7 linked regions of the Danio rerio genome follow. The protein of the gene in region 5 purifies or fractionates together with the protein of the main gene of each other region. This does not show direct contact. Links are inferred from orthologs where the notes say so. Each region holds a gene or a part of one and is shown on either strand. Other genes may lie near its edges. The genes, in order: parp1, znf512b, bcl11aa, chd3, mta2, smarca4a and dnmt1.

The links.
Region 1: the proteins of mta2 (region 5) and parp1 purify together in Homo sapiens (affinity purification with mass spectrometry; 3 studies listed by BioGRID and IntAct, with this or other methods). This does not show direct contact. The link is inferred for Danio rerio from reciprocal best matches to the Homo sapiens genes MTA2 and PARP1.
Region 2: the proteins of mta2 (region 5) and znf512b purify together in Homo sapiens (affinity purification with mass spectrometry; 3 studies listed by BioGRID and IntAct, with this or other methods). This does not show direct contact. The link is inferred for Danio rerio from reciprocal best matches to the Homo sapiens genes MTA2 and ZNF512B.
Region 3: the proteins of mta2 (region 5) and bcl11aa purify together in Homo sapiens (affinity purification with mass spectrometry; 4 studies listed by BioGRID and IntAct, with this or other methods). This does not show direct contact. The link is inferred for Danio rerio from reciprocal best matches to the Homo sapiens genes MTA2 and BCL11A.
Region 4: the proteins of mta2 (region 5) and chd3 purify together in Homo sapiens (affinity purification with mass spectrometry; 8 studies listed by BioGRID and IntAct, with this or other methods). This does not show direct contact. The link is inferred for Danio rerio from reciprocal best matches to the Homo sapiens genes MTA2 and CHD3.
Region 6: the proteins of mta2 (region 5) and smarca4a purify together in Homo sapiens (affinity purification with mass spectrometry; 3 studies listed by BioGRID and IntAct, with this or other methods). This does not show direct contact. The link is inferred for Danio rerio from reciprocal best matches to the Homo sapiens genes MTA2 and SMARCA4.
Region 7: the proteins of mta2 (region 5) and dnmt1 purify together in Homo sapiens (affinity purification with western blotting; 3 studies listed by BioGRID and IntAct, with this or other methods). This does not show direct contact. The link is inferred for Danio rerio from reciprocal best matches to the Homo sapiens genes MTA2 and DNMT1.

The regions. Positions count from the first base shown.
Region 1 is NC_133195.1:46,980,917-46,984,729, reverse strand, and holds part of parp1 (poly [ADP-ribose] polymerase 1), read right to left. Parts: intron 3,727-3,813; coding exon 3,484-3,726; intron 1,849-3,483; coding exon 1,783-1,848; intron 1,682-1,782; coding exon 1,549-1,681; intron 1-1,548. UniProt on the Homo sapiens protein: Poly-ADP-ribosyltransferase that mediates poly-ADP-ribosylation of proteins and plays a key role in DNA repair.
Region 2 is NC_133198.1:14,911,438-14,915,725, reverse strand, and holds the start of znf512b (zinc finger protein 512B), read right to left. Parts: upstream 2,825-4,288; 5' UTR 2,070-2,824; intron 1-2,069. UniProt on the Homo sapiens protein: Involved in transcriptional regulation by repressing gene expression. Associates with the nucleosome remodeling and histone deacetylase (NuRD) complex, which promotes transcriptional repression by histone deacetylation and nucleosome remodeling.
Region 3 is NC_133188.1:29,070,064-29,074,585, forward strand, and holds the start of bcl11aa (BCL11 transcription factor A a), read left to right. Parts: upstream 1-1,445; 5' UTR 1,446-1,550; coding exon 1,551-1,605; intron 1,606-1,995; exon of another isoform or gene 1,996-2,413; intron 2,414-4,522. UniProt on the Homo sapiens protein: Transcription factor. Associated with the BAF SWI/SNF chromatin remodeling complex. Binds to the 5'-TGACCA-3' sequence motif in regulatory regions of target genes, including a distal promoter of the HBG1 hemoglobin subunit gamma-1 gene.
Region 4 is NC_133182.1:20,738,854-20,742,666, reverse strand, and holds part of chd3 (chromodomain-helicase-DNA-binding protein 3), read left to right. Parts: intron 1-216; coding exon 217-390; intron 391-2,190; coding exon 2,191-2,315; intron 2,316-3,042; coding exon 3,043-3,281; intron 3,282-3,813.
Region 5 is NC_133182.1:17,876,528-17,881,021, forward strand, and holds the start of mta2 (metastasis-associated protein MTA2), read left to right. Parts: upstream 1-1,398; 5' UTR 1,399-1,782; coding exon 1,783-1,810; intron 1,811-4,494. UniProt on the Homo sapiens protein: May function as a transcriptional coregulator. Acts as a component of the histone deacetylase NuRD complex which participates in the remodeling of chromatin.
Region 6 is NC_133178.1:18,061,000-18,064,812, reverse strand, and holds part of smarca4a (SWI/SNF related BAF chromatin remodeling complex subunit ATPase 4a), read right to left. Parts: intron 3,269-3,813; coding exon 3,167-3,268; intron 2,118-3,166; coding exon 1,982-2,117; intron 1,465-1,981; coding exon 1,328-1,464; intron 1-1,327. UniProt on the Homo sapiens protein: ATPase involved in transcriptional activation and repression of select genes by chromatin remodeling (alteration of DNA-nucleosome topology).
Region 7 is NC_133178.1:57,143,378-57,147,190, forward strand, and holds part of dnmt1 (DNA (cytosine-5)-methyltransferase 1), read right to left. Parts: intron 3,655-3,813; coding exon 3,474-3,654; intron 3,400-3,473; coding exon 3,302-3,399; intron 1,595-3,301; coding exon 1,444-1,594; intron 1,069-1,443; coding exon 953-1,068; intron 855-952; coding exon 656-854; intron 579-655; coding exon 445-578; intron 370-444; coding exon 190-369; intron 114-189; coding exon 1-113. UniProt on the Homo sapiens protein: Methylates CpG residues. Preferentially methylates hemimethylated DNA. Associates with DNA replication sites in S phase maintaining the methylation pattern in the newly synthesized strand, that is essential for epigenetic inheritance.

The sequences.
Region 1 (3,813 bases), on a different chromosome or scaffold from region 5:
TTGTCAACTCAACAGAACTGAATTAATTAACTAATATTTTAATAATGCATTAGTAAACGTTAAACTATGATTAATAGTATTTTCGGTAACACTTTACAGTAAGGTTGTATTAGTTAATCTTAGTTAATGCATAAACTAACACGACCAAACAATGAAAAATGCATTTATTACAGCATCTGTCCATGTTATTTAATGTAAGTTGATGAAAATACAGCTCGTCATTAACTAGAGTTAACATGCATGAATTTGGATATTAATAACGCATTACTAAATGTTGAACTACGTTTAACAAATGCTGTACTAGTGTTGTTCCTAATTAGTTCACGTCAAATACACTAATGAAACCTTAATGTAAAGTGTGATCATAATTTTTATTTATCCATTTTAGACGCAAAGATAAATAACTAAATATATAATACAGATAAAACAGACAAAGCAGTAGTGACAGATATAATAACAACGATAAAAAAAATCATTAAAATCTTTTTTTGTAATATTAGGGTGCAGATCGATTGCAGAGAGAAAGCAAAGCGATCCAACAAACTAATGAACCAGACTATATCACAGTGTATTATGTATATGCAATAGGCATATATACGACTATATGAAGAGAGAATTATGAGAAGGGTGAGATGTCCTTCCTACCTGTAAATGTGCATTTCAAGTCGAATACGAAAGTGAAAGCATGCTGAAATTTTACAGAGCTGTTTATGTGTTAGAAAAATGTACCAAAATTAACATTCAATAGCTTTTTCCATATTTTAGTTTTATAATATGTTGTATTAAGCCTGTTGTTTTGTTCATTTCTGCACTCACACCTCAAAAGAAAGATCAACATTGATCTGCTTTGTGATCTGACTGCAGACTTGGTTCATCTGTTATTTCTCTCTATAATTTAAGCCTATAGTGCAGAATTCGAACCAGTTTTTTTTTTCAAAAGTTTGACTGATTCAATAAATAGATTTTTACTAAAATGAGGCCATGTATGAGAAAGTCTTACCTCTCTGACTTATATTTATTGACAATGTCTGTGGGTGTCAAAATTAAAGTGCACATTTTTTGCTTATAATGTCTCATTTATCATCATCATAAATAAGAATAACTCTGAAAAATAAACCCTGAAACTCACACAAGTGACTTGTTTTAACTATTTTGGTCCATTAGAAACTTTCCGAACTAAACAATTGATCTACAGATGTGAAAGCACCCTCAAACTACTTTATTCATTTAATAATACTATATTCACAACTTGAAATAAAATGAAGTTATAAATGTTCAATATATAAAAATGAAAGAATTAGAACACACAAAATACATGCAAAATGCCAAAAGGTTGTATTGATTATCCTACATAAAATTGTACCCTATTTTAACACTTTTCTAAAGAAATATGAAAAAACATACACATCTGCAAGGTTTTAAAGCAGGCATTTGTTAAAAGACCTTCTTAAAAAGTCTAAGAAAAACACAAAGTTTGAAATTACAAAAAGAAAATCACTGTGTTTAAGAATAAATGTTTGTACAATAGGAATCCTTCAGAAAGCTCACCGCTTTTGAACGTCATCCTCCAGCAGCTGTAGTTTGTAGTATGAGTTTGTCCCTCTGACGATGTCCACGAGACCCAGTGTGGCGCTGTAAATCTTTCCATTCTGTTCCAGAACATGAGCACAGTTTTCCAGACCTGAACAATCAAACCGTGATTAGAGATCTGAATAAACAGTACATGACCATATGTAATATTCAGAGTCGCCTGAATGAGATATGGGGGAAAATGTTAATCACCTGAATCTGGATCTACTGCAGCTCCTCCTTTCACTGTCAGCTTCATTTTCTTTGATTTGCTTCCACCTGCAGGAAGAAGAAAATAGGGTTTTTATTAAGCAGGAAGGTAAAATAAGTAATTTTAAGATTTACAAATTATTTAAAAAAACATGCAAGTGCTTTTCTATATTCTGTTATTTATTTATTTATTTATGTTTTAATGCCATATCAGGAGCATTGGCTACATTCTTGACAACACTGGTAGTAATATTCAATATATAATTTGCAATCATATCTGTTTCTTAATTATTCGTTTTACAAAAAAAACAAACAAAAAAAAACATACAAATTAGGGCTGGATAATATTGGAAAAAACTGGCATTGCAATAATTTTAATTACTGCAATATATATTGCGATATTTATCATTTTAGATCGAATATGATGATTCTGCAAGTACATTCTGTAACATGATTTTAAAAATGACAAGCAAACTTAAATACAACAGATACAAAACAACCAATGATTTACGATTTTCTGTGGAGTCAAAAAGTATTCAGAAACAAAAACTAAATAATCACCATAAAATAATAATAATAACACTTCCAGGACCGTTTATATCTAAGTTGATATTTAGCCGCACCATGTTGGTGTTTCGTAATATCAAATTTTTACGAGGTGGGTCATTAGTCCAACGCTTAATCTCCAACCTGGAGGACCAGGACATACACACATACACTACGGACAATTTAGCTTACCCAATTCACTGATAAAAAGTCATAAGTTTTCAATTTGATCAATGATAAGTACTCTAAAATTCCTTCAGAAGACACCTTTATAACCACTTCTGAAATCTGTTCGATTTATTTAAACAGAATACCACTATAAACCAAAGGATACAACAAACTGTTTATTAATTATAAACAATAGTAAAATCAATATTTATTTCGTCCCAAGTTTGTAAAGTATGATTTAATAATTCATGAATGAATAAATGATTAAAATCTCAAGCAATTTCTGATGTTAAATGGATAGTTCACCCAAAACTTCGTTCATCATTTAATTAGCATTCCCCTGTCACAAACCGGTTTGAGTTTCTTTCTTCTATTGAACACCAAAACCTGTAACCATCGACTTCCATAGTATTTGCTTGTCCTACTGTGGATGTCAATGGTTACAGGTTTTCAGGATTTTTCAAAACAGCTGTGAGTTTCTTCTGTTGAATGCACAATAAGATATTTTGAAAATGTTGAAAACCTGTAACCATTGACACTCCATAGTATTTGTTTTTCCTACTGGGGATGTAAATGGTTACAGATTCTCAGGATTTTTTTCAAACAGCGTTGAGATTCTTCTGTTAAACACAAAATAAGTTACTATGAAAAATGCTGAAAACCTGTAACCATTGACTTCCTCAGTAGGAAAAGCAAATACTATGGGGTGTCAATGGTTACAGGTTTTCAGGATTATTCAAAACAGCTTTGAATTTCTTTCATCTGTTGAAATAAAAAGTTATTTAGAAAAATGCTGCAAACCTGTAACCACTGACTTTAATAGCATTTGTTATTCCTTCTGTGTAAGTCAATGGTTACAGGTTTCTAACATTATTCGAAACAGCTTGTTTATAGTGTTGAAATCACTTAAGGGTGAGTAAATGTTCATGTTCGTTTGAACTATCCCTTTGTATCAGTTACTTTCTACGTAAATCTGCAGACATGTCTAACCTTCCTCCTCTTTGACTTTGCCGGTGCTCTTTGAGGAATGAGCTCCGGTGGATTTGGTGGCCGCGGCTGCAGCCGGGGCCTCGACTTTAACTTCAGCGCCCCAGGGGGAAATGGCATGCAGAGAGATGAGCTCCTGAAGGGCCTTGCCGGACTCCTTGATGTCAGTAAGGAAATCATCAGCCACCACGCGGACACCTGCGTCTCTCACCTCCTCCATTTTCTTACTCATCTTCTCAATCTCCTCTGAGGGAAGGCAGGAACAGATCAGAACATTAATGAGGTTTGAACAACAACAAATACATAAGCTGAAAAAAAAAATCTGAGAGCACA
Region 2 (4,288 bases), on a different chromosome or scaffold from region 5:
GCAATAAGGTAATAGGAAAAGCAGCTGGTAGGACTAAGTGCTATGGTATTTGGGGAATTTATCACACACTTTAGAAAGGCTGTGGATGGAAGTGTGCCTACACAATCAAAGAAACACACACGGCTCATTCCTGCCACGCAATAGCTATCAAACCATAACTTCAGAAGAATAAATATGCTTGAGCTGTATTTTCAGTATTTTAATTAAAATGTTTTGTTTTTTTCCCTGACTGACAGCCTGACAGCATTTAAATGTTATTAATAATTATTTTTAGACAATCGGACAACAGTTTTTCTCAGTCGCTTTGGTGCATTTCTCACAGAACTATTTACATTTGCACAATAGTTAATGCATTTCTCAAAACTATTAGTCATTTTTGCACATCATATGAGCAGTTTCTCATTCCTTCCAACAAATTGCAAATTCTCTTGGACATGCATCAAAATAAAGCACCAATGTTAATCATTAAGTTAATCATTCATTTATTTTCTTTTCAGCTTAGACCCTTTATTAATCTGGGGTCGCCACAGCGGAATGAACCACCAACTTATCCAGCATGTTTTATGCAGCGGATGCCCTTCCAGCTGCAACCCATCTCTGGGAAACATCCATACACACTAATTCACACTCATACGCTGCAGACAATTTAGCCCACCCAATTCACCTGAACCGCATGTATTTGGACTGTGGGGGAAACTGGATCACCCGAACGAAACCCACGTGGACGCGGAGAAAACATGCAAACTCCACACAGAAACACCAACTGAGGAGGTTTCTGTGTGGAGTTTGTATGTTCTCCCTGCGTTTGCGTGGGTTTCCTCTGGGTGCTCCGGTTTCCACCGCAGTCCAAAGACATGCAGTACTGGTGAGTAGGCTAAATTGTCCGCAGTGAATGAGTGTGCATGGATGTTTGAATTGAAGCTGGAAGGGCATCAGCTGCGTAAAACATATGCTGGATAAGTTGGCGGTTCATTCCGCTGTGGCGACCCCAAGTTAATAAGGGGACTAAGCCAAAAAAGAAAATGAATGAATGAATTATGTCACTTCCTTGGGTATTATGTTATTTAAAACATGGTTTATCTTTAATATTTTAGTAAGATCTAAATAAGATGATAAAAAGCAAAATTGGGGGCACAGGACATCTCTATTTAGCCTATCATTCATTACAATAATATTTTTAAGAAAATATTTTAGTTTTGCAGTAACACAATAAAGGTGTAATATTATTTCATGAACTGCAAGTTATTTTTTTTTCAGTTTCACCCCAAGCTAAAACTAATGTCACATTTTGTAATTACAAACTTTTAATAATCAACCCAATGTAATAGGACATACACAGTTTTTTAATACAAGACACAATGTACAGTAATTTCCCAAAGGATTGGGTTATTAAAGAACTGTCTGTTTTCCATTATTTCTAGACGGTTTTACAAAACAAAAATAATATGACATTGAAGTCACAGGGAGAAACTTTCTGGTTATTGATTAAAGCAACATTTCAAAGAAAACATGGTTCACAACAACACACCGACTGTAAAATATTCTGGGTTCCACACAATCGATTTTGTTGGGTCAACATAAAGGAATTAAGTTAATTTATTAGTTCATTCAAATTTAAGTGGATTGAACATAAAACAATTAAGTTATCCCCACAACAACTCAAGAATATTATTGCTTAAACTTAATTTATATAAGTTGTTAAACACACACAGAAAGATAAACATCTGTATTACTTGTGCAAGTTTCATTTTCACCCCATGGTAAAACTTGTGACATTTTTCCATTAAACTTTTTAATATTTAACCCAACATGGTAGGACAAAGACAAAACATGCGCACAGTGAGGATGACCCACATAAGTGCTCAAACAGTGTGTGAGTGGTTAATAATATGACTGACAGCTCACATATAAACACCACAACACATTCCACTAGCATATTCCGTTCCACCTCCAAAAAAGCACTAACACCATATAACGCGTTAAAGCACGCGTCTTCCCAGAGGAAAGGTGCGTTTATGTCTTTATTGACAGTATTGACAGATAATCGACTTCTCGAAGGCCACACCTACCTGGAAAGCCACCCAACACTGACGGGTGAGCGGGTGAGCGGGTCACCCACGTGGGGTCAGGCTGTAGCCTTTACTCTCGCGTCGCGCAGCTTCACTTTACATGGCAAACACACCTGACGCGCGGGGGGTCGCGGGGAGACGGGCGTCACGGTCGGTAGCCACACTCACGGCCCCCGCTGTGCGTATCCGCGGAGGAAGATGATGAAGGAGGAGGAAGAAGATGAAGAAGGAAAAAAGAGCCAGCTGATGCAAATGCTCACAAGCCGACTACTTTCACCGTGTTTCCAGACTGCACTCGGCGCCCCTCTTCATTAATATGTAATCCACGAGCTGTCTCATTAAAATCCAACTCATAAGCACGCACACAGATACGGAGAAACGCCGGCAAAAAATATCAAAATACAAGAAGCTTTCATAGGCAGTGAAGCAAAATGGCGACTTTAATACGAAGGAGGAGTAAAAAAAAAAAAAAAAAAACCTCGCGCTGTTGCTAAAGGAGGCACGGGGATATGTTTAGTGCAGTAATCGAGGCTGGAAGAAGTGAACGCGACGGAAAGCGGAGGGGAAAGGCACGGCGTCGCGCAGTTTCCGCCGCAGCCCCCTCGATATATTCCTCTCCTTACCTCGGGATTATGCCGTGTATTTGTTTGATAGGGATATTATCTCCGCGACCGTGTACAGTAACAGTATGGGTGCTGGGTCACGCGCGTATCCGCTGCTGCTGCCTTTGACAGTTGTGACTACAGTCGGCAGGCAACTTGCAAACTCTCGCGTTATTATTTATGATCACTCATTTTGATATCAGGCCAATCATTTTGGTATTTCTGCATAATAAAGCTCCTGCCTGAATGGAAGCGTTTGATGCGGCTCGACGTCATGCCGCTCCGTTATGACGAAAAGGCTCCGGACGGCTACAATCTATCTATATGTAGTGGGCGCATAATATGAGATCGTTTGCATTATATGACGTAACTTGTACGACTCGTGGATTCAAGAAGAGATTTCGTAGTTGTTAAAGACTAGTTAATAATCTGAGAATGGGCATATTATCGACGTCGAGTAGGCTACTGTATTATTATAGGCTGTATTTTAGTTTATACCCATACTAATATAAATATTTTCAGTGAATAGCTTTTGCTGTCCATAGAAAAAAGTGTTAATGATCATATTTTAACATGACATCATACCAATTGTAAAGTTTAATGTGCATACAGTTAAAGTCAGAATTTTTAACCCCTGAAATATTATCCCCCATGTTTATTTTTTTTTTTGCCGAATAATTTCTGTTTAACGGAGGGATTTTTTTCAACACATTAAAGGCAAAAAAAATTAACTTAAAGAAGGCAATACCTTTTTAACTTAAAATGGATTAAAAAAAATTAAAACTGATTTTATTCTAGCCTAAATTAAAAAAATAACACTTTTTCCAGAAGAAAAATTGTAACATACTGTGAACATTTCCTGCTCTGTTAAACATCATTTGGGAAAAAAATAAAATAAATTCAAAGGGGGGCTAATAATTCTGACTTCAACTGTACATATGACATAGTTTTATTTATTTAATTTTCAAAATGAAACGTCCATGCATTTATTTTTATCCATTTATTTTTATTTTTGCTTTTTAAAATGATATAGACTAGTTCAATCCAATCAGTACCAAATTAGTTAAATGTCTATCTACAAGTCTTTGAATTTAAAATAATTAGATTTATAAGTTATAAAAAGAAAAATTATGACAAGATTAAGTTAAGCCAGAAGTCATTAAAGTTGAAGATAAAGTTAAAGTTGTGATGTGAGTCACGGTTAAAATATAATGCCTTTTTTGTTGTTGTTTTTGCTTTTTTAATGTTGGTTAAAATTTAGCCTATATTCCATAATTTCCCTGTTGTCAAAATCATCACTTTTTGGTCTTACAATACGAGAAATTGTTTTGGTTCTAAGCAATTTCGGCCATTTTGTCTTAATGCAAAATATTATAGAGTGTAATGTAAAACATCTTGTAATGCTTTTTAAACAATTCATTTTCTCAAAATGAATTCACAACAGAAAAATATACAGTTGAAATCAGAATTATTAGCCCCCTTTTGAATTGTTGTTCCTTTTTTAAGTATTTCCCAAATGACGTTTAACAGAGCAAGGAAATTTTCACAGTATGTCTGATAATATTTTTTTCATCTAGAGAAAGTTTTATTTGTTTTATTTCGGTTAAAATAAAAGCA
Region 3 (4,522 bases), on a different chromosome or scaffold from region 5:
ATCTCGCGCAAAGTTGACCTTTTTACCCAGCACAAACCTGACTCAACTTTCGCGTTAAGATCTGACACCTCGCGTCGGAAAAAAACACACGCGCACCAACACAGCGATCAGTCTTGGTCCAGAAACAAAGATGTCAGCGTATAAGCCTGCAAAGCAGTTTCACTCACTCGCTCGCGGGTCACGTATTATCTCCAGCATTCGGCTTCAACTCCGATCGGTTCCCTATTGAATTGTGCCTTTTCCCCGCAGACTGTCACTTGTTCACGCAGCCTCTGCTTTCTCTGGAGTAGTCGCTATAGTCTAGTTGTACTTCTACTAGTTCGCAGGGGTGTCTCTCTCTTCCTCCCACCTCATGCATTGAACTAGCTTGTCATCGCGTTCGGTTATACGCTTCATGTCTCTTTAATTTCGAATGCATCAGCGCTGTTTACAGCATCTTTATATTTCTAAATCCACGCGGCGGTTTACTGACACCCCCTCCTCCCCCCAGTCGCCATTCTCTATAATCTGAACACATCTGAAAGTTATTACCCCGTCCCCTTTCTTTCTAGTGGGCTGCTCCCACAATCTATTCGTCAGTGTGTTGTTATATTTTTACAATTACACTCTTGTAGTATTTAAGTCCCACCTACATCGCGCGCAGAGCGCACGAGCAAGTATCCCATCCCGCTTTATGTGATGTGCCTTAAGTTTCTCTGAGCTGGAGGAATGTGGCAGCGCACGCGGCGGTTGAACCCTGCACATGCCCCGGCTCGGAACCTGTCTGTCCTGTTCATGCAACCCGATCGTGTCTCGCTGAAAAGCAGCTACCTTGCGCGCTACCTTTGACTGTTTGACCAGGAGTTGAGTCAGTGTGTTTGAAACACCATCAGTGTCCACTACGAAACCTTAAATGCGAGGCTCCTCTCTCACTGTCTTTGTATATATAGCACGTCCGGCCCCCTTGAATCTCCTGTCCATTGGCTTTTCGTGCTCTGTTTTCCTGCGTCCACCCCCAGAGCGCGAGCGCGCGCGGACGCACACACACACACACACACACTCCGCAGCGCACATTGCTTTCATTAAACATATCTCCCCCTCTCTCTCTCCTTGTGTGTGTGCTTGTCTCTCGCTCCCTCTTTCTCGCCTCTTGTCCGGCCCCCTGATCTTTCTGTCCATTGGCTTCTTCGGGTCTATTTTTCATGTCCAGCCCCTAATGAGTGTCCATTGGTTTTGTTATTTCCACTCCCTCCTCCTACTCCACGGCTTTGCCCTGCCCATGTTCTGTATGTCTGTGTCCATCCATCTCCTGACGTTCAAGTTCGCAGGGACGTCACGTCCGCACTTGAACTTGCAGCTCAGGGGGGCTTTTGCCATTTTTTCATCTCTCTCTCTCTCTTTTCAAAAAAGCCATGACGGCTATCCCACAATCCATCTTCCCTGCGCCATCTTTGTATTATTTCTAATTTATTTTGGATGTCAAAGGCATTGATGAAGATATTTTCTCTGGAGTCTCCTTTCTAACCCGGCTCTCCCGATGTGAACCGAGCTGAAAGCCACCACCAACCACCATGTCTCGCCGCAAGCAAGGCAAACCCCAGCACTTAAGCAAACGGGATTTTTCGCGTAAGTAAAGACAAATATATGTTGTGCCCGTTGCCTTTACCTGTTTTTTGGCTGCGTTGTGTAGCGTTGAGTTGCTGGAGAGGAGCGTAATTCTCAGGGAAGACACACTGGACATTGGACAGCGCAGCGCCGATCAAGTGGACTTTAGCGAAGAGAGCGTTCCCATCTCTTGAATGCCTTTACGCGCACCGAATCGCCAAAAAGTTTGTCTTCCATCGCTGTACTTGGAGAAGTTCGTGTCGACTCTGTGTTTAGGCGCATATGTCTTGGCTCTCGTGCCCCAGTCGCTTTGACCACTTAAGAGCAAACGCTCACATATACCGGACCGTGGTGGGTATATGCACGCGTGCTTTCGCTTGCTTATTTACTCTCACATCTCGTGGAGTGTCCCGCAACGCTGTCTGTCTGTGATTCTGGGCAGGATTTCCCCCCTCTCGCACTATTTTTGGAAGATTTTCAAAGAGTGGAAGCGAATTTTGATTGGGAAAAATCTCGTGTCCGACTGTTTACAAGCGCCGCGTGCGCTTACTACCCACTGCCAGCAAATAGAGCACGATAGTCTTCTGCCTGAGACTAACAGCGCAGAGTAAGACATCTGCATATAGCCTAATATCGTTTCGAGTTTTACACATTAACGCTTTTCTAACGTTTGAAGCAAAACGCGGTTGTGCAGTATTTGTGGGCTTTCGCTGAAAAGCAGTAGAAGAGTATTTTACGTTACGCTCTTTGCCGTTTCGAGTACATTTGCAAGGAGAGAAATACGATTTCTATTTAGGCCTGATTTTCGTCTTAAATGTCGTTGACAAAGGTAAGACGAAACCTAAATATAATGCAACTATTTGGATACAAATGTATCGAGAAAACCAGGCTTTTTATGCATATATTCGTAACACACTAACCTACTGTTCTTCCAGAGATCATGTTAGTTGACACACTAAACGTGCTTTGAAGGACTGTGATAAGTTGCATTTTTCTAAATAAAGTATGCTTCAGATTATATGAACCTGAAATGTTGTCAGGAGCTCGACGACACAACCATTTAGCTTCTATCTTTTTGATGTTTTAGTTTTGATGTCTGAAACGTAAATCTTCAAAAGCATTAGTCCGCGTTTTAATAGATAAACGTGTTTGACACAAATCCTGAGTTGTTGTAACATTGTAAAGTATCGTGTAACATTATTGGGTTTCCACACACAGGCTGTGGATCTCAGCGCGGGTTACTCTGCGCTTTCGCTGCTGCACGTGTCCGAAATCCACCGCTAGGGGGCACACGACGATCATAAACTAGACTCGAACCCGATCAGTTTCAGCACTATCTATATTTGACCATATGTTTGCAAGAGCGAAACGTATTGTATATGAACTTGTAACAGTTTTTTTTTTACCCCGTCCTGAACTGGCATGAATTATAGGATTTTTAAAAAAATGTCTTGTATATTTTGTAATGGATCTAGAAAACTAACATGACTTTCAGGTAATGCAAACAGAGCCAGTATCGATCTTGATAAACTTTGCCATCCAATTTATAATTACACAGAAGACGGTTATTTTTAAAGCAAAGAAACAACAAGCGAGCCTACAAACTTTTTTAATGAATTTATTCAAAACCCCTTTGAATTTCATACACAGAGAAGCTAATACTAAATCTTTTTTTTGTAATAAGATGCTTTTGAATTTTAGACAAATTAATTGTTTTTAAGTCTTTAAATATTTTTTAGTTTAAGAACTGATTTAATTTGAAATGCATATGCAGGTAATGTAATTTAAAACTATTGTGAAAACTCAGTTTAATACAGTTTTCCACACTTTCCACAAATTTTGAGTTGGCTTAATTTGTTTTAAAATGGTTGAATATTCCTTCAAAACACATTCATGGAATCCTAGTTTATTTATGCAAGGTCAATCGTAGTCTGTGAAGTATATATAATAATATTTAAAAATATGCATATGCACGGAAATCTTTAAATGCCATTACCGATTGTAGAATAACGCATAACTTTAAATGTTGTATTAAGCTATTGTATTAATGTTACATTTTATTGAAGCTGAAATATCTATTAAGCAACTATATGTACTCGCTGGGTGTTATTAAATTATGACTCAAGTTTTTGCAAATATGTCGATTATCTCTGTTTTTATCACAAAATCACACATTACTGGACGTTCTACATCTGGTATCATTACGAATTTAATACGAATCAATATCAATCTGTGTATCTTGGAACCAGATACAAAAACGTTTAACTTCACTTTAAATTGCTCCTATTAGAAATGCAAGCAATTACGCACAATAATACAATGTAAAAACGGAAAACATTCGCTCATATTTAAGGGTAATTGATCACGTTTCGTCTTTGTTATTTCATGTGCAAACGTGTCGAATATTTTACTCATAACCACGTCTGGGAGATACTTCACATCTGCCCCTCAGTATCTGCCCCAGACTGGGCTGAGGTAAATTTAACCGCCCTGCTCGTGATCCCAACACCTTTTTTATTATTATCAAAATCTGTACCAATCATCACCCACTAAAATTAAAATCTATTTTTTGATTCTCAGTGGTTTTAGGTTCATTAAAGCATGAAATTGGCAGCTTATAAAGAAGGTCAAGATTCTTAACCATTAGCAAGCTAGTGTAACCTCCGCGCGAAAGATTTCGCTAAACAGCCGTTATAAATACCTGTGTGTGTGTGTGTGTGTCTGTGTGTGGACTGTATAGCTAACTTTATTGAGAATGGAAAAAGGTATCAGTACTTTTACTCCAAGTGTGAAGCATGTATTGATGCTGCTGTGACTGTTTTGGTTTTGCTGGATATCTACACGTGTTGTACATGCAGTCATAATCCAGATGTGTGTGTGTGTGTGTGTGTGTGGTTGAGTGAAACAGTCAGTCTGAGATGTAGTTTTAAAAACCAAA
Region 4 (3,813 bases), about 2.9 Mb from region 5:
TTTCCCCTCTATATATGTTGAAAAGGTCACCTTGAATGACAGAATTTAAGGTTGTGAATGAAAGAAGCCTTTAAAAGTGACTAATTGCTCAAATTTATTACTAAATTTATATACATATTTAATTAAATATGGTATAAAAAGAGTGAATGCAATATATTGGCAGCCCTAATCATTTGGCCTCAAGATTGATATTATTTTCTTTCTCTCTTTTTTCAGGAGAGTGACATAGAGAGAGACTCAGAGCCGGACTATGCCATGAACTCTGACAGTGCTGCCAGTGATTATGGAGGGGAGAAGAAAAAGAAGAAGAAACACAAGGACAAGAAGGAGAAGAAAACCAAGAAAAAGAAGAAAGAGGATGAAGACAGCACGCATGAAGAGACCACGAAGGTTATCCGTCCTTTTGCGTCCTTTTGTATTCTTGTCTTCTTTGCTGTTGTAGGCTGTGTGCTCATCCTAACCATTATCTGTGTCCAAATCAAACACAATCAGCCCATTGTTAACTTTGAAATTGAATTAATTTACCCAAGTCGAGAAAGAAAACCGATTTAAAAATATAAACATTCTGACTTGGCTCAAGTGGTGTAGAAATTGCATGCCTTTTTCTGTGAATGTATTTTTATTTTTTTCTAAATGAGTTAAAGAATGTATCTAGTGGCAAATATACTTTAATTCAGGTGTACAGTAATTACAGGTGCCATAGAATGAAAATCTAAATATACCTGGCAAATCTAAACAATAAGAGTTCAGTACATGGTTATAATGACATGCCTCATGAGCCTCAAACCCCATTGTTTTCTTTCTTTCATATAAATTATGTCAGTGTAAAATCCCACTGAAAATCAAGCCAATCAGAACAGAACATCAACTTTGATTATTTTAATATGCACTCCCTAGGCAGCGTTTGATTGGCCACAACATTTCCTTGTGAGATTACAACAATGATAATTTTTCCCCATATATTTAAGTTCTATGCTTGTATTAAACTTTCTATGTACGTGGGACTTTTATTTTAAAATTGGGAGAGGCAGTGAGACTAAAAATGAGCATTTTTTTAAGCAGTCAGACCACCGGATGTTCACAGCTCATCAGAATGCAAAATGTAGGATAGACGGATTATAAATTTATTCAGCACCACCCCAAAGATGCACATTGTCTAGTTAAATGTATTGTTTGATAGTTTAACGTGTATATTGTGTGTAATTTGCAGTGTGTATTTGTAACGAGGCAACAAACACATGTAAACTGCTTAATATAAAAGTTTATGCAAGTTTATGCATCGTGTCATATCAGTTAGCTTTTTCTGTGATTTCTTGTGTGCACGCGATGGCACCTCTACTTAAATCATATTAACACGGACTACTGATGAAACACAAATATCAGCAACAACAAAACAACAGAGTTCACAAGATTTCAAAACCATACAAATTGGCCTAATTTGACCAAGCATCCATTATTAGTCAGAGCCTCGTATTTATACTTGATTATTTTGAATTGTTAATATGTACGTTATATGTTTACACGCTTTGAGCCAAATCAATTTATGGAATATTACAATTTAGTCATTCCAAGTTGTGATAGTTTAATTAATGATTTGATTAGGACAATTTTGAAAATTACATCAAAACAGCGTCATTATTAAAGCTAGCAAAAATGATCTAATAGTATGTTTACCATATTTTCCAGAAAATAAGTTGCACTTGATGGCTCAGAATAGCTTTTTGTCCTCCCAAACTCTGTTGTCATATACATGAATGGTCAAAATTCTTAAAACCTATTGTTTCTAATTAAAAGCAATGTTATGTAATCTTACCCTCAATACCAGTCAATAAACTGGTTTATTTACAGATAGAATCAGAACTAACGAGGTGTTTTCTTGAGAGCTTGTGTTAGCACTATTTATATGCCTGAAATTAGTATTCATGTAAAGTGTTTGCATTCAAATCTTCACACATTCACAAACACATATGCAAACACATGATCAGACGTTCTTCTTGCGCTTCCATTTAGGAATTATGAAAGATTGTTGAAAACATAACATGGTGTTTCTGCTTCATGTCAATAATAATATACCACACACATAATTACTGATCCAGCTAAGCTAAAGTGGGGTTTAGGATACAGATATTTCCGGATTCTTATTACCCATCCACACTGTGACGATCATGTGACAGAGTCTCTCTCTTCCAGCCGGTAGAGATGAAAACATCAGCCCAGCTGGCGAGAGAGTGGGGACTTGAGGATGTTGATCACACATTCACAGAAGAAGATTACCGCACGTTAACCAACTACAAAGCCTTCAGCCAGTTCCTCAGGTACTGACTTTCACTAGAAGTTTGACACGTTGTTGTTCCTTTGCATCATATTTATGCCAATACTATCTCATTAATTCCTGAGTTGGTTGATTACACGAAGAATGGCAAGCATTTTTGTAATAAAATATTTCTCGAATGTTGTAAAAATATGTAAATGAGACATTCTTTCATTAAATATGCACTAATTTACATACATTTGTGGCACCAAAACATTCGACAAAGTCAGAGTAAATTATTTTTTTTAATTAATAAAGTCAAAAGATTTTCCCAGAGATGGGTTGCGGCTGGAAGGGCATCCGCTGCGTAAAAACGTGCTTTATAAGTTGGCGGTTGATTCCGCTGTGGCGACCCCGAATTAATAAAGGGACTAAGCCGATAAGAAAATAAATGAATGAATGAGAGTCAAAAGATTTTACAGAGGGAATTTTTTTTGAATCACTGCATAATTTAGATAATACTGCAAACATCCAGAAAAAATTTGAGGAACAAAATGTAATATATAAGCAAAGCAAATTAAGTATGAATGAACATACCCCCCAGTTTAATCCCTAAATATATATATGAATTAAAAGTCCTGCCAAATTAAAGATTTAAAACTTAAGAAAATAACACATTTTGAAGGAATGGCCTTTTCATTTATTTAGTGTCATTAAAATCTGCAGACCAAAATTGATTAAATTGATTGCTTGTGTGTTTTGGATGTATGTCAACATATTGTTTTCTGCAGGCCCATGATTGCTAAGAAGAACCCTAAAATCCCCATGTCCAAGATGATGACCATTCTTGGGGCCAAATGGCGGGAGTTCAGCTCCAATAATCCATTCAAGGGTTCGGCAGCAGCCGTCGCTGCAGCTGCTGCCGCTGCGGCTGCAGCCGTTGCCGAGCAGGTCTCCGCAGCAACAGCCTCGCCCGAACCTCCACCTCAACCACCTCCACTACGCAAGGCCAAGACCAAAGAGGGCAAAGGTGGCCAGATTTATTAGTCGCTATTTTATATAAATACAAAGCTTGTTAACAATTGAATCTAGAGAATTGAATTGAAATGAATAGCATATAACTTAATTGGGAAAATTACCTAGCGAATGTCATCATGCTTTCCTCAGCTGATCACAGTACAATTAAGGTACAATTACAGTACAATTAAACACATTTAGGTCATTCACAATAATAATTAGGATTTTTAGCTCAAACTGTGGTACTTGGTGATTCAAATATAAGTCAAAAGTTTCTGGCTCTTGAACTGTAATTTAAAAAACACATACAGGCAAGTATTGTAACTATATATATATATATATATATATATATATATATATATATATATATATATATATATATATATATATATACATTTTTTAATTAATTAAAAAATAAAAAAGTCACCTTCATTTTTTACATTTATTTTCACTAATTTAAATGAAGACAAAATTTGTAAACATAACAGCCCAAAATCTCAAAACGTTAGAATGAGTGCCAATTAATTACTATTACACATAATGTA
Region 5 (4,494 bases):
GTGATCAAAACACCAGTGTCCGATGATTCACGCTTGGCCATCAGAAGATGGGTGCACTGTGGTCATGTAGGGATGGACATGGTCAGCAACAATACTAGGATAGGCTAGAGATGGTTGTGCGTGAACATCCCAGCAGTTTCTGAAATACTCAGATCAGCCTGTCTGGCACCAACAACCATGCAATGTGCAAAGTCACTTAAATCAGCTTTCTTCCCCATTCTGATGCTCACTTTGAACTGCAGCAGATCACCTTGACCCTGACTAAATGCATTGAGTTGCAGCCCCCCCCAAAAAAATTGGGTTAACGAGAAGTTGGACAGGTGTACCTAATAAAGTGGCCGGTGAGTGAACATTTCACAACAATTATGAACAAATAAAACAAAATAAAAATGAGATGATTTTATTAGCTACACAATCAAAGTATAAACAGATGCCAGGAGTAAAATAAATACAGTGCTTGGCATAATTGAGTACACCCCATTTTGAAAATGAAATGAATATGTTTATCCATTTCTCAGTGAATATAGGCAGTGTATTTCGGTGTGTTTATACAAAACAGATTTATTAGACAGATATGTTTATTAAAATAATATTTTAGTCACCAAATATATTTAGAAATTGAAAGATAATACAATTAAATTCAAGCTAAATATTGCAAATTTCCCAGAGATGGGTTGCGGCTGGAGGGGCAACCGCTGCGTAAAAACTTGCTGGATAAGTTGGCAGTTCATTCCGCTGTGGCGACCCCAGATTAATAAAGGGACTAAGCCGACATGAAAATGAATGAATGAATGAATATTCCAAAATAACTACAACCTACAAAACTTTTCAAAAAAATATAATGTTTTGCTTTGTCTGATTTTTCCTTTTTTTAAATGTGTATTTAATATTTTTCTATATCATATAAATTTGGTTGTACTAGTTTTTGGCCGTTAATGTAAATTATTTTGTGAGGTAAGCTCCAGATTTAGCTTTAGTACAGACTAATCTAATGTATATCCACAAATATAATATTGTAAGCTTTCTATTAAAATCATATATGTAAAAGATAGTTTTGTGAGGGGTGCACTTATATATGCTAAGCTCTGTAGATGGGTAGGATAATAAAAAACAAAATATTTATTTAATCAAATTAAATTTGCATAATGCTTCAAATGTATTTTTTTTTAGCTTATCTGTTTTTAATGTTACACAGTGTAGTGCCATACTGTTTAGTCTCCTTTGTAAAATGTTCACAGTTCGGCTTAGCTTCAGCCCATTTCTTGACTGAAATGTATATTTGCCAGGAGTTTTCCGAATTCGACGTGACGTTGCGAGCTTTCGAAAATGACGTTGCAGAGGGGGTGCGTGCCCGTGCGCGCGCCCGTATGTGTGTGTGTGTGTGTGAAACAGAGCGGAGGTGAAGAAGAGGAGGATGAAGCAGGGAGCGGAGGATGGGAGGAAGAGTGGAGTGAGTGAGAGAGAAAGAGAGAGACGGGCTGGCTATCAAGGGCTCGTGTCAAGTGTGAATGTCTGAGAGGGGCTTCGATGGGAGTTTTATCGCAGCGCCGAAACAAAGACGCGATCTTTTTTTACCATCCGGAGAAACATTGTAGCGGAAACTTTAAACTTTTACCCGCCAGAGCGGCAGCGCCGTGCCGGGTCCCGGCTTTGTCTCGCGACGGGGGGAAGTACGCCAGCACACGCGAGGATATAAAGAACCAGCACCACGTTCGGATACACATTTTGACTCCCACGAAGAGGGAATCTGCGATTATTGCGTTTGTTTAGGAGAGCGAGAGAATGGCGGCCAACATGTACCGAGTTGGAGGTGAGTATTATTGTTAAGGCTAACACTAGCAGCAGGCTCGCGGGGGTTAGCATTAGCATTAGCGCGAGCGGCTGTTTCCGCCTTAGTTACAATGAGCGGAATCCCGTTGCTAAGCAGGCTAGGCTAGTTTCGTTACGGCTGCATTCGGGATAACTCGAATTTAATTATTAATATATGTATTAAAGTTCACTTGTGAAGGTTTAAAAACTCGTGCTGACTCTTAAAGTCTTTCTTAACTCAGTAGTTTTGGTTTCTTTTTAATAATTAGCCGCCGCAAGCAAATGAGCTAATTATACAGAAAGCCTTGCGTTAGTTTAATCCATTATAGTGCTTTTTACTTACTTTTTCTAGAGTTATGTTGAAGTTTTTGTCGTGCACGTTTCCCAAACTCTGTCAATCTGTCAAACCTTTGACAACTGAATCATATGGGAGACTCGCCGCACTTTCAGTTTCGTCACCTGTTTGAAAGGAAGCAGTAAAATAATCCAAAATGTTTAGTTAAAGGTGTATTACACGCATGTTTACACTTGGTTAACCTAGAAATAGTGTTTAGTACTAAAAAAAGTCTCTTTTCTATTCTCATATATGCAGAAGGCGCGTATAATGTCCTATCCAGCTGAAGTTTTCTCCATCATACATGTTCACTTCTACTGTAGACTCTCCTACATATGCCTCTCATATGTCTTTTGTCTGTAAGATGCTGGTGATGATAATATGCGTTAACATCACTGACTGACTGACGGCTTGGTAACCATCTACATTACAGTGCCTTTACGTTCTTAAATCCGTGAATCGGCCGTAAATAGGTCACGGCAATCAGCCTGTGTTGCTTTAGCAGACGCCGCTGATTGCTTTATTGCAGTTGCAGATTGAACATGCAGCGAGTTCTGCAGGAAAGAACTCACTTATTACACGCTTGTCAAAATGTATTAGTGTTTACGACGCGAGACTGGGTTCAGACGAAGAAGAAGTCTGCGTCAACTCACAACTGTCATTTGAACCGTTTTCTCCAATGAAGGTGCTGTGTGGGATGGCACTGTAATGATGTTCTGTCGTAGCTTGACTGCGCTGTTCGTTAGTGTTTGGGGAGGTTTGCACACCCAGGTACTGCTTTCGGTAGGTCACTGGACTTGACCTCCTTATTTAGCCTCGAGCTTTGCATCTCTGCGTTTTCACCTCTGTGTTCTGGAGGTTTGTGACTCAAATGCTGTCACTGTTTTTTGTTCAGTTCATTTGACCAGAGTGTTTGCTTTTGTCATTGAGCTTCCTAGAATGCATTAGTGATCGACTGAGGTATCTGCTGTTTAGTGCTGCCAGGCTGAATCATAAGTCAATATTTGTCTCTTTTGAAGAAACTGGCGTTTGACAGTAACTCTGCTCGACCGACAACCCGTGCGGAAGTGTCATGATTAAAATCATGAAGATTAAATTTCTACCTCTATTTAAAAAAAAAATGCATCATTAAGTAGAAAATTATTCATTATTCACATTTATGTGACTGTGGACTACAAAAAAAAAGTGATGTTGCACTGGAATATTTCTGGCAATAGGCATGACACGATAACTGTTTCAAGGTTTACCGAGTTTTGGAAAAGTCAAGGTTTTCTTTCTTTCTTTCTTTCTTTCTATCTATCTATCTATCCATCCATCCATCCATCCATCCATCCATCCATCCATCCATCCATCCATCCATCCATCCATCCATCCATCCATCCATCCATCCATCCATCCATCCATCCATCCATCCATCCATCCATCCATCCAAATTTGTTTTTGGTTTTAATGAACATACAAACAAAAAAGGACAAAGACAAGGATATCAGTAGACACAAGTATTGCAACAAAAGTCATAAAAAAACAAACAGAATACAAAAATCATAATAAACAAATGAAGTTTTGCTGTGATTTGAGTAAAGTTACACTTATTATGAAAATAAATTCAGCCATTAGAGGCATCCATATTTTCTGAAAGACATCTCTTTTGTTTCCTAAGCAGTTTGTATTTTGCTTTAAGAGCATTGTTTCATTTAACGTGCGTAGAGTTGCTGAAGTTTGCCTTGTACACTTGCAATTTTTTAGGAACTTCTTTGGTTTGGTTTGTCAATCTTGTCAATGCTATTATTCAAAAAAGCTAATGATTCGCACTCAAGTAATTTCTTCGTACTGTTTTTATTTTTTCTTTCTCTTACATTCAACGGGTGATTAAAAGACACAGATGTTTTGGCACAATGCCTTCCTCAGTGCTCATTGTTTTATTTAAGAATTGTATATACAGTTTAAATGTTGGAGGCCTTTGTTGGTTCCAATTGAGCAAAATGCATTTTTTTGGAAGATAAGAAATGATGTCGAGTCGCTTTGTAGAAGTAGTATGAAGTGTCTTTTTCAATTCTGTACCAAACAGGTATGGTGTTGGTGTGTTGTCCAATGGAATTTGCAAAGCTTTGGATGTGAAGTCCTGTACTGCTTTCCGGAAAATGTTTAGCTTTTGCATTCCCCCAAAAAATGCATGATTGATCCTGAATATGTTTTACATCTGTGACACCTGGATGATACATTTTGCTCAAACGAAGTGCAGTCAGTCAGATACAAAGTCAAGGTTTTAAAACCATCAATTTTCTGTTATACCGTTCCTATGGTACATTTAAGACTTTTATGTATTTTCATGACTATTTATTTAGTTTTTT
Region 6 (3,813 bases), on a different chromosome or scaffold from region 5:
AATAGTGTCTTTTTTCAAGCACTGTAGTGTAACAATGTCTTCTCACAAAAAAAATGATGTAAACTTGTTGTTTTTTTCTCAAAAACTTAAGTGCAACATTTATTCATTCAATCATTCATTTTCCTTCGGCTTAGTCTTTAATTCAGAGGTCGCCACAGAGGAATGAAATGGCAACTATTCCAGCGGATGTTTTACGAAGCGAATGTCCTTCCAGCTGCAACCCACTACTGGGAAACACCCATAGACACTCATTTACACAGACACTCATACACTATGAGTGTATGAGCCAATTTAGTTTATTCATTTCACCTATAGCGCATGTCTTTGGACTGTGGGGTAAACCGGAGCACATGGAGAAAACCCACGCCAACAAGGGGAGAACATGCAAACTCCACACTGAAATGACAACTGGCCTAGGCAAGGAGTCGAACCAGCGACCTTCTTGCTATGAGGCAAATGTGCCACCGTGTCACCAGATGTGCAAAACTTTTTTTTTTTTTTATAGTGTAACAGTGTCCTCATGTTAAAAACAGTAGTGAACAAATGTTAAACAGTGTTTTAACAATATAAGTTTGTTTCAAAAACATTAGAGTAACAATTTATTTTCACAAAAGAAGCTGTGTAAATGTCTTTTAATAACAGTAGTGCAACTTATTAACTACCTAGAACACAGACCTTTTTTTTAAATGGTCAAAACCTTATAACAGGCGTAACTAACCCTGTTCCTAGAGACCTATATTAAACACACCTGCCTATAATTATCAAGTGCTGTTCAGGTCCTAATTAACTGGTTCAGGTGTGTTTGAACAGGGTTGGAGCTGAACTTTGCAGGAAGGTCGATCTCTAGGAACAGGGTTGAGCACCACTGCCTTATAACAAATTTAAAAGAAACCTCATAAAAAACTTCAAACAAACCGCATTTAATACGTATACGTCATAATTTCAGGTGTGAACTCTAAGAGTTAAGGGGTTGAAGAGCTAGAGCAGTTAAAGAGTCAAAACATTTTCTTCATTGAATTGAATGCAAATTTAGTTACTTGTGTGTGTGTGTGTGTGTGTGTGTGTGTGTGTGTGTGTGCGTGTGTGTGTGTGTGTGTACTTTTTCCCTTTAAGTTTAATTATTCTTCATTGATTATTCTTGTTCAGCTCTTGGGGTAGGGCTTGGGTTAAAACAAAAATAGAAAGAAGGAAACTAATGTTTACTTTTGTATTGTATGTAGATTATATTTTCCTTTATTATCATTATTATTATTAGTAGTAGTAATATTAATGATATTAATAATAACAGTAATAATAATCATCATCATCATTGATTATTCTCAAGTACCTCTTCCTGGTCTTCCTCACTGTCGTCATCACTAACAACAGGTTTAGGCCGCGAGCTGCGTCCGGTTCGGCGTCGTCCTTTTCCTCTCTCCGCCTTGTCCTTTCTACTCAACTTTATCTTCACCTTCACTGAACGAGCTGTAATATATACACAAACAAATATTTTAATATTGGGCTTAATATAAATTAGAGTTGTAAGTGTTTTATACTGTAATCAGATAATATTTGGATTCATTCATGTAGCAGTATGGACCCTTTTCACTTGTCTGGGTTTCTCAGTAGCGGAAGTCTTTATAGTGGAGTAAACGTAGAGCGCAGTGAATACGAGAGTACAGCAAATCTTTTTTTTACAATCCTACTTGCTGAAAAAAATGAAAGCAAAACTCCCAGATGGTTTTGGCAAGACTTTCAGAAATAGGAAACAAATAGTGTGAGATCGATAACGGCAACCAGGAGAGAACATTTACTGTCCTGCCCATACACTGTTTTACAAATGCCTCGCACAAGCAGTAATTTGTTTTTTGTAATTTGATGCAAAGATGATATGATACATACATAAATAAATTCAAATGTTCATACCATTTAAATTTTAAATGCTGATGACTGAAATGAGTCATAACAATTTGGTGAATGGAGACCATTATTGTCAACTTACATTCAGACTCGGATCCTTCATCGACATCATCCTCTTCCTCCTCGCTGTCATCTCCCTCACTCTCTTCCTCCTCTTTCTCGATCTTCTGCCGCACGCTGGTGAACACAGACTGCAGCACGATAGAGTCCTCGTAGATCTGAAATGTCAAACCCTCAACTCATTTAATGATTTTAGGTTGCTTGTACCAATTTAAAGACACTGATGCAGTAGATGGAAAAAACATTTATATAAAACATTATATTATAACCTATTGCGCCATATTCAATTATGTTTAGCTTAAATACAACAACTAAAGATGAAAATTAATGTCAATTAAAGTTTTATGCATTTAAAAATTGACAAACTAATTATTTAAAACGAGTTGAGTTTAGACAACTTAATTGTTTTATATTCAATCCACTTTTGTAAATTCTATTAGGTTAAGTAATCGATTTTTGTTGACACAACATCATGTAATTGTGTTGAACACAGCATTTTTTACAATGTGTTTTGATGAAGGAATTATTATAAAAAAAAATTAAGTTACAAACATTTTAAAATGTGGAAAACCTAAAAAATAAAGTGTACAAAAACAGATATACTTAACACAATACTTCTTTTTTTTTTTTTTTTTTTTACTGCGCATTCACATCGAAAGCAGAAAAATAGCCGAAAGCACACAAAAAGCGTAAAAAAGTAGCCGGAAGTCATTCATTTTCAATGGGAACCAGCGGTTGCACATCTTCGCTAGTGCGGCCGCCAAAGAGAGTTGAAATCAAGTCAATTTTCTAGCAGTGAGCTATGACACAAGTTCATTTTCATAATATAAAACAAGATTTTTTTATGCGGGAATAACTGATCGGCTGATATACTGTGATAGCCCCTCTAAATACGAGATCAGTGTAGCAAATTTTTAAGCCCTCACTGGGGGAGCGGTAAACATCTTTTTAAATCTTCCAAAACAACTATTAATGGTTATGTTATGGGATCAGAAAAATATTAATCTGTAAATTTTTGACAGCGTTGTCGCCAGGGTGGCCAGAGCAAACTTTTTCAGTGTGAAAGACAGTTACACACTTACACATTTTTCATCTTTTTACACAAAAAACATCAGTTTTTTTGCACAAAGACAATAAACTTGGTCGAATTGGTATTTTTGATGGGTGTTTAATAAGATTGTGGCTTAAAGAGTATGATGAACATTACCAAAGATCCCTCCAGGTTGAAGGTCTGAGCGTTCTGACACAGCAGCATAACGTCCTTCTCTAGGTCATTCAGACTGCGGTACTTGTGACTCCTGATGCGCTCCTGTGTACAGCAGAGAGAAGGATTTAACACTGAAATGTTTATTCACACATATATGGTAACACTTTATTTTGATGGTCCAATTAAGTATTAGTAAACTGTCTGCTTAATATCTGCTGATACTGCTCCTTCAACAGACATTTAACTGACTATCAGAAACTTTGCAAGTACATGTCAACTTGCACTAACCCCAACCTAACAGTGTACTTATTTGATGAGAATTAGTTGGCATGTAGATGCAATGTAACTTAAATTCAACAAACAGACCCTCAAAATAAAGTGTGACCAAATATTTTGTTGCATTCATTAACCAATTCATGAAAAGCGTTCGTATTATAACTCTATTAATGCAATAATTGAATAAATCAGAGTTGATTTACACCCTAAAACATTGTCAGAATTGTCCTTTCAGGTTTAAAATCTAAATAAAAATCAGAAAATACTACATAATGAAACATCCAGAGTTCTCAACCATGTTTGTGAAACAGCCAAACTATTCAAGACCCAAAGTAAAATCTAATCCGTTAGTTATTACAAATGAAAAGTTG
Region 7 (3,813 bases), on a different chromosome or scaffold from region 5:
CCAGATTTGAGCCTTTAATGTAATCAGAGGACTTCCTGTAGTATTCAGGGTAAAGATCTTCATCAACGTCATCTTTTCTGTGGGAACGCTTCACCGGGCTTGCAGCCTTTACTCTAAAAGACAAGAGGTCCATTTAATAAAACCACTCAAATAGAAATCCCTTGAGGCAGTAAATAATAAAGAGCTTACACAAAGTTAAAGGCCTCAGGTGGTAGGTAGACACTGTCCCCTACTTTGTACTGCTCTCCCTTATAGTTCACCAACCCATAGAAGACTTTAGAGTCACTCTCCTCATCCTCTAAGGGCTCATAGGCATGGGGAACAGACTCAGCCTCTCGTTCTTTGTTTCTGGTGCAGCTGGCACAAAACCTAGTGAAACATAACATTTTATAGCACAAATACAGAACAGGTGTCCCATTAAAATAGGTCAAAAGGGGCTCTTACTTATACTTGCAGTCCTCAGAGGGTGTGACCTTGGGAGGAGTCTCAAAGCGAGCACATTCACCTTCATAATGGAGCTGATAAAAGAAGCTTTCACCATCATCGTCAATCACTTTGATGTCTTCATCCATTCCACCCTTCAAAACAATAACAGTGTTAAAACCTCTGCCCAGTTTGTTAAACACAAACACTGCCCACACTTTGGCGTATGTACCTCCATATACCAGTTTTCAGATGGTGCCTTGTAGAAGACGTTGACCTTGCCATGGATAAAACTTAGCTGCATGTCTTCACACTCATCCACTAGGAAGAGCTCAAGAGGGTCTGATGACTCTCCAAGGACCGTATCAGTGCCACGGCAGAACCAATGGGCATGAAACATCTTCTCACCATCATCCCACAAAGCTGTAATCCTACAAATTTAAAGAAACCAATGATTTACTAATTAGAGAGTCTAGTAAACATGTTAAACCTTTTGGTTTTACAAAAGAAATTGCTTTGATAATTTTACCTGGCCAGGTAGAGAGGATGTGATGGGTCATCAGGGCTTACAGATACACAATCTCCCACCTCCAACACCTCATTTTCCACACGCACTTTCATGTAATATTCCTTCTTTCCCTCAGTCTGAAAAGATGACGGCAAAAAAAAAATAAAAATTTAAAGTCTTCTAAATTTGGGAGGGGAGAAAAGTCTCCAGCCACATGAAAGCTAAAAGGGTTAGTAGCACAACTTGACAAACTAAGGCAAAAACAGCAAAAGCCATGAAACAAAAAGGAGTTTACCAGCTACAACAACACCATTTCTAAAAAATTTGAAGACTACAGTGTTAAGATTTTATTTCCCTAATACTGCATCGGATTATGGACCAATGACCAAACCAAGTAGAAAAATCTACTGTTTTGCAAATACCCATTTGAGTAGACATGGCCATAGTCCTGGAAAAAAAAAAAAAAAAAAAAAAAAAAATATTGTGTCCGCTGCCAGATAAAGATTGCATACCTTTAATGGCTCACCAACCCAGCTGATTTTGTTCTTGGTTTGTTTCTTCTTCTTGGTCTGAGACATTTTCTTTGTATCCTTAACTGGCAACACATCCTCCTCATCCATGTTCTCATCATCCTCAGCTTCTTTCACTGCCAGGTTGGGACACCTGGATGGACAAAACAAACATTAGGCTTTAACCTGGCAAACAAATCCAAAATCATGAAGTTCGATATCACCAACAGGATCTGCTTCTCAAAAGGGCTATTCTACTGTTTGGTTCAGAGACCAAGTGTGCTCTGACCTTTAATAGTTCAAAACAACAAACCTGGAGTCACCAAATATTGTGCAATCAACACAAGGTTGATATATTCATGATGTGCCTAAGGCCCTGTTTACACTAATGCGTTTTAGTTTGAAAACGCATAAGTTTAGCTACGGTTACGCCAACTGTCCACACTACGCCGGAGTTCGAGCGCCGAAAACAGAGCGTTTCGAAAACGCTGGAGAGGCCGTTTTCATTCTGAAACGCTGGTGCTCCGTCTTAAGTGTGGATGAGCAAAAACGGAGACATCTGAAAATGGAGGCTGGGCTGTAGACATTCGCTTCTCTGATTGGGGCTTTTCCTCAATATTAAGTAGCCTAACACACACAGTTCAGTCCTGCATCCTCTCCTTGCAAGTTCAGACTTTGCAAGTTTGATCAAGGCTGCAGTCTATTCTTCTCAGTTTGATATGGAAAACAGACTATACCGAGGACACGGGTAAATCTTCAAAGAGAACAGTGTACTGTATAACTTCATTCACCCTGGCTACGTTGTTTCACTTTCTCAACAATAAAATCAAATGTAAACATGATTTAAGGAACTGCCTATTTTCATTTTGATATTAGCAACTTAACAGACAGCAGAAATGTTGAGGCGTCGGGCTGCATGCGAGCGTCATCTTCACTGTGTGGATATTTATAACAAAACGGAGCCGATAACAACTGCCTCCTTTCAATTTCAGTTAAAATACGAAACATACCCTCTCTTTTGCTGAATATAAGTTTTAATAATCGATAATGGCCATTATAAAAATATAACATACAATAATTTTATACATTATAGGAAATAAAGGCAAGCGATCAGTCAATAATACAGAATAGGCTACGTGGTTACATTGATCATTAACTTATCTTTGCGCTTAGCCAAAACACGTTACCTGAGAACAAGTAGGCTAATATATTCTAGTGACCAAAGTCAGGGAATATGTCGTTAGATAAAGACAACAAGATGAATGAAATATCACGTTTAATAAATATAGTGAGATTAGATCCAGCAGGAGATGCTTGATGAGAAGTCCGACTAGCACAGCTCTCATCTGGGTAGATGGGCTGCAGCGCTGGCCCGAATGTGTGTGTGTGTGTGTGTGTGTGTGGTCATGTGATGTGCGTTTTCAGAATTTTGGTGTGGACGGAGAGCAGTTCAGAAACGCTGGGTAAAAAGCGAGTGTGGACGCGGATCGTTTTCATTCTAAAACGATGTTTTAATACTAAAACGCACTAGTGTAAACGGGGCCTAAAAGGTCAACAACTAGGAAGTTGTTTAAGACAATTAGATATCATTGTAACATTTAATCTGAGATCAATTAAATATACATGCCTAGGTAAATGAAATGCCAATTTAAAATGGCATGAGTATAGACAAAATTGGCACTATAAATAGTAAAAACTATTAAAAACCTTAATTGTTGAATGACATTTAGCCTCATTCAAAATGTTAATCATTATAATATAAAAACAGAGAAAGCAAAGAAAGGCCTTTAAAACACATGGAAAATACAAAACTGCTGAGGAGAATGATTACGCAACAGCAAAGACTGCACAGTAAGCATACCTCCTCTTCTGACAGGCTTGTTTACTTCTGCCACTGCCTCCAAACTTGATCATATCCTTACAAGCTGAACACTTGCCGCAGTCTGGAGCTTGACACACCTGAAATACCAAGGTCGCCAATCATCATGCTTGCATTTCAGTTAAACTGTGCCTGCTATTTTCAGACAACCAACCTCACAGACACCACACCGTTGTCTCTTCACACCTCCATCCTTATTGTTCTGGTCAATCTGATCAGAGAAGAATGTGTCAAAGATCAGGTAGACCAGTTTAGTGGTGGTGGCTTTAGTCGGGCCCTTGTTGTCCTTTTCAATCTTAGTGGGATGGCGGACGGCTTGTCTTCTGGCTGCTCTCCTGAACAGGGGAAAAAAAAAAAACATGAGCAGAGCAAACAAGATACAGAGGGCACAAATAAAAGCAAAAAAGAGCCATGCGTTTAATGCACAAGACACAATGGATTGAGTTAAGACAAACAGCTCTGAAGTAACTAAACCCATTTAAACTGAAAAAAGA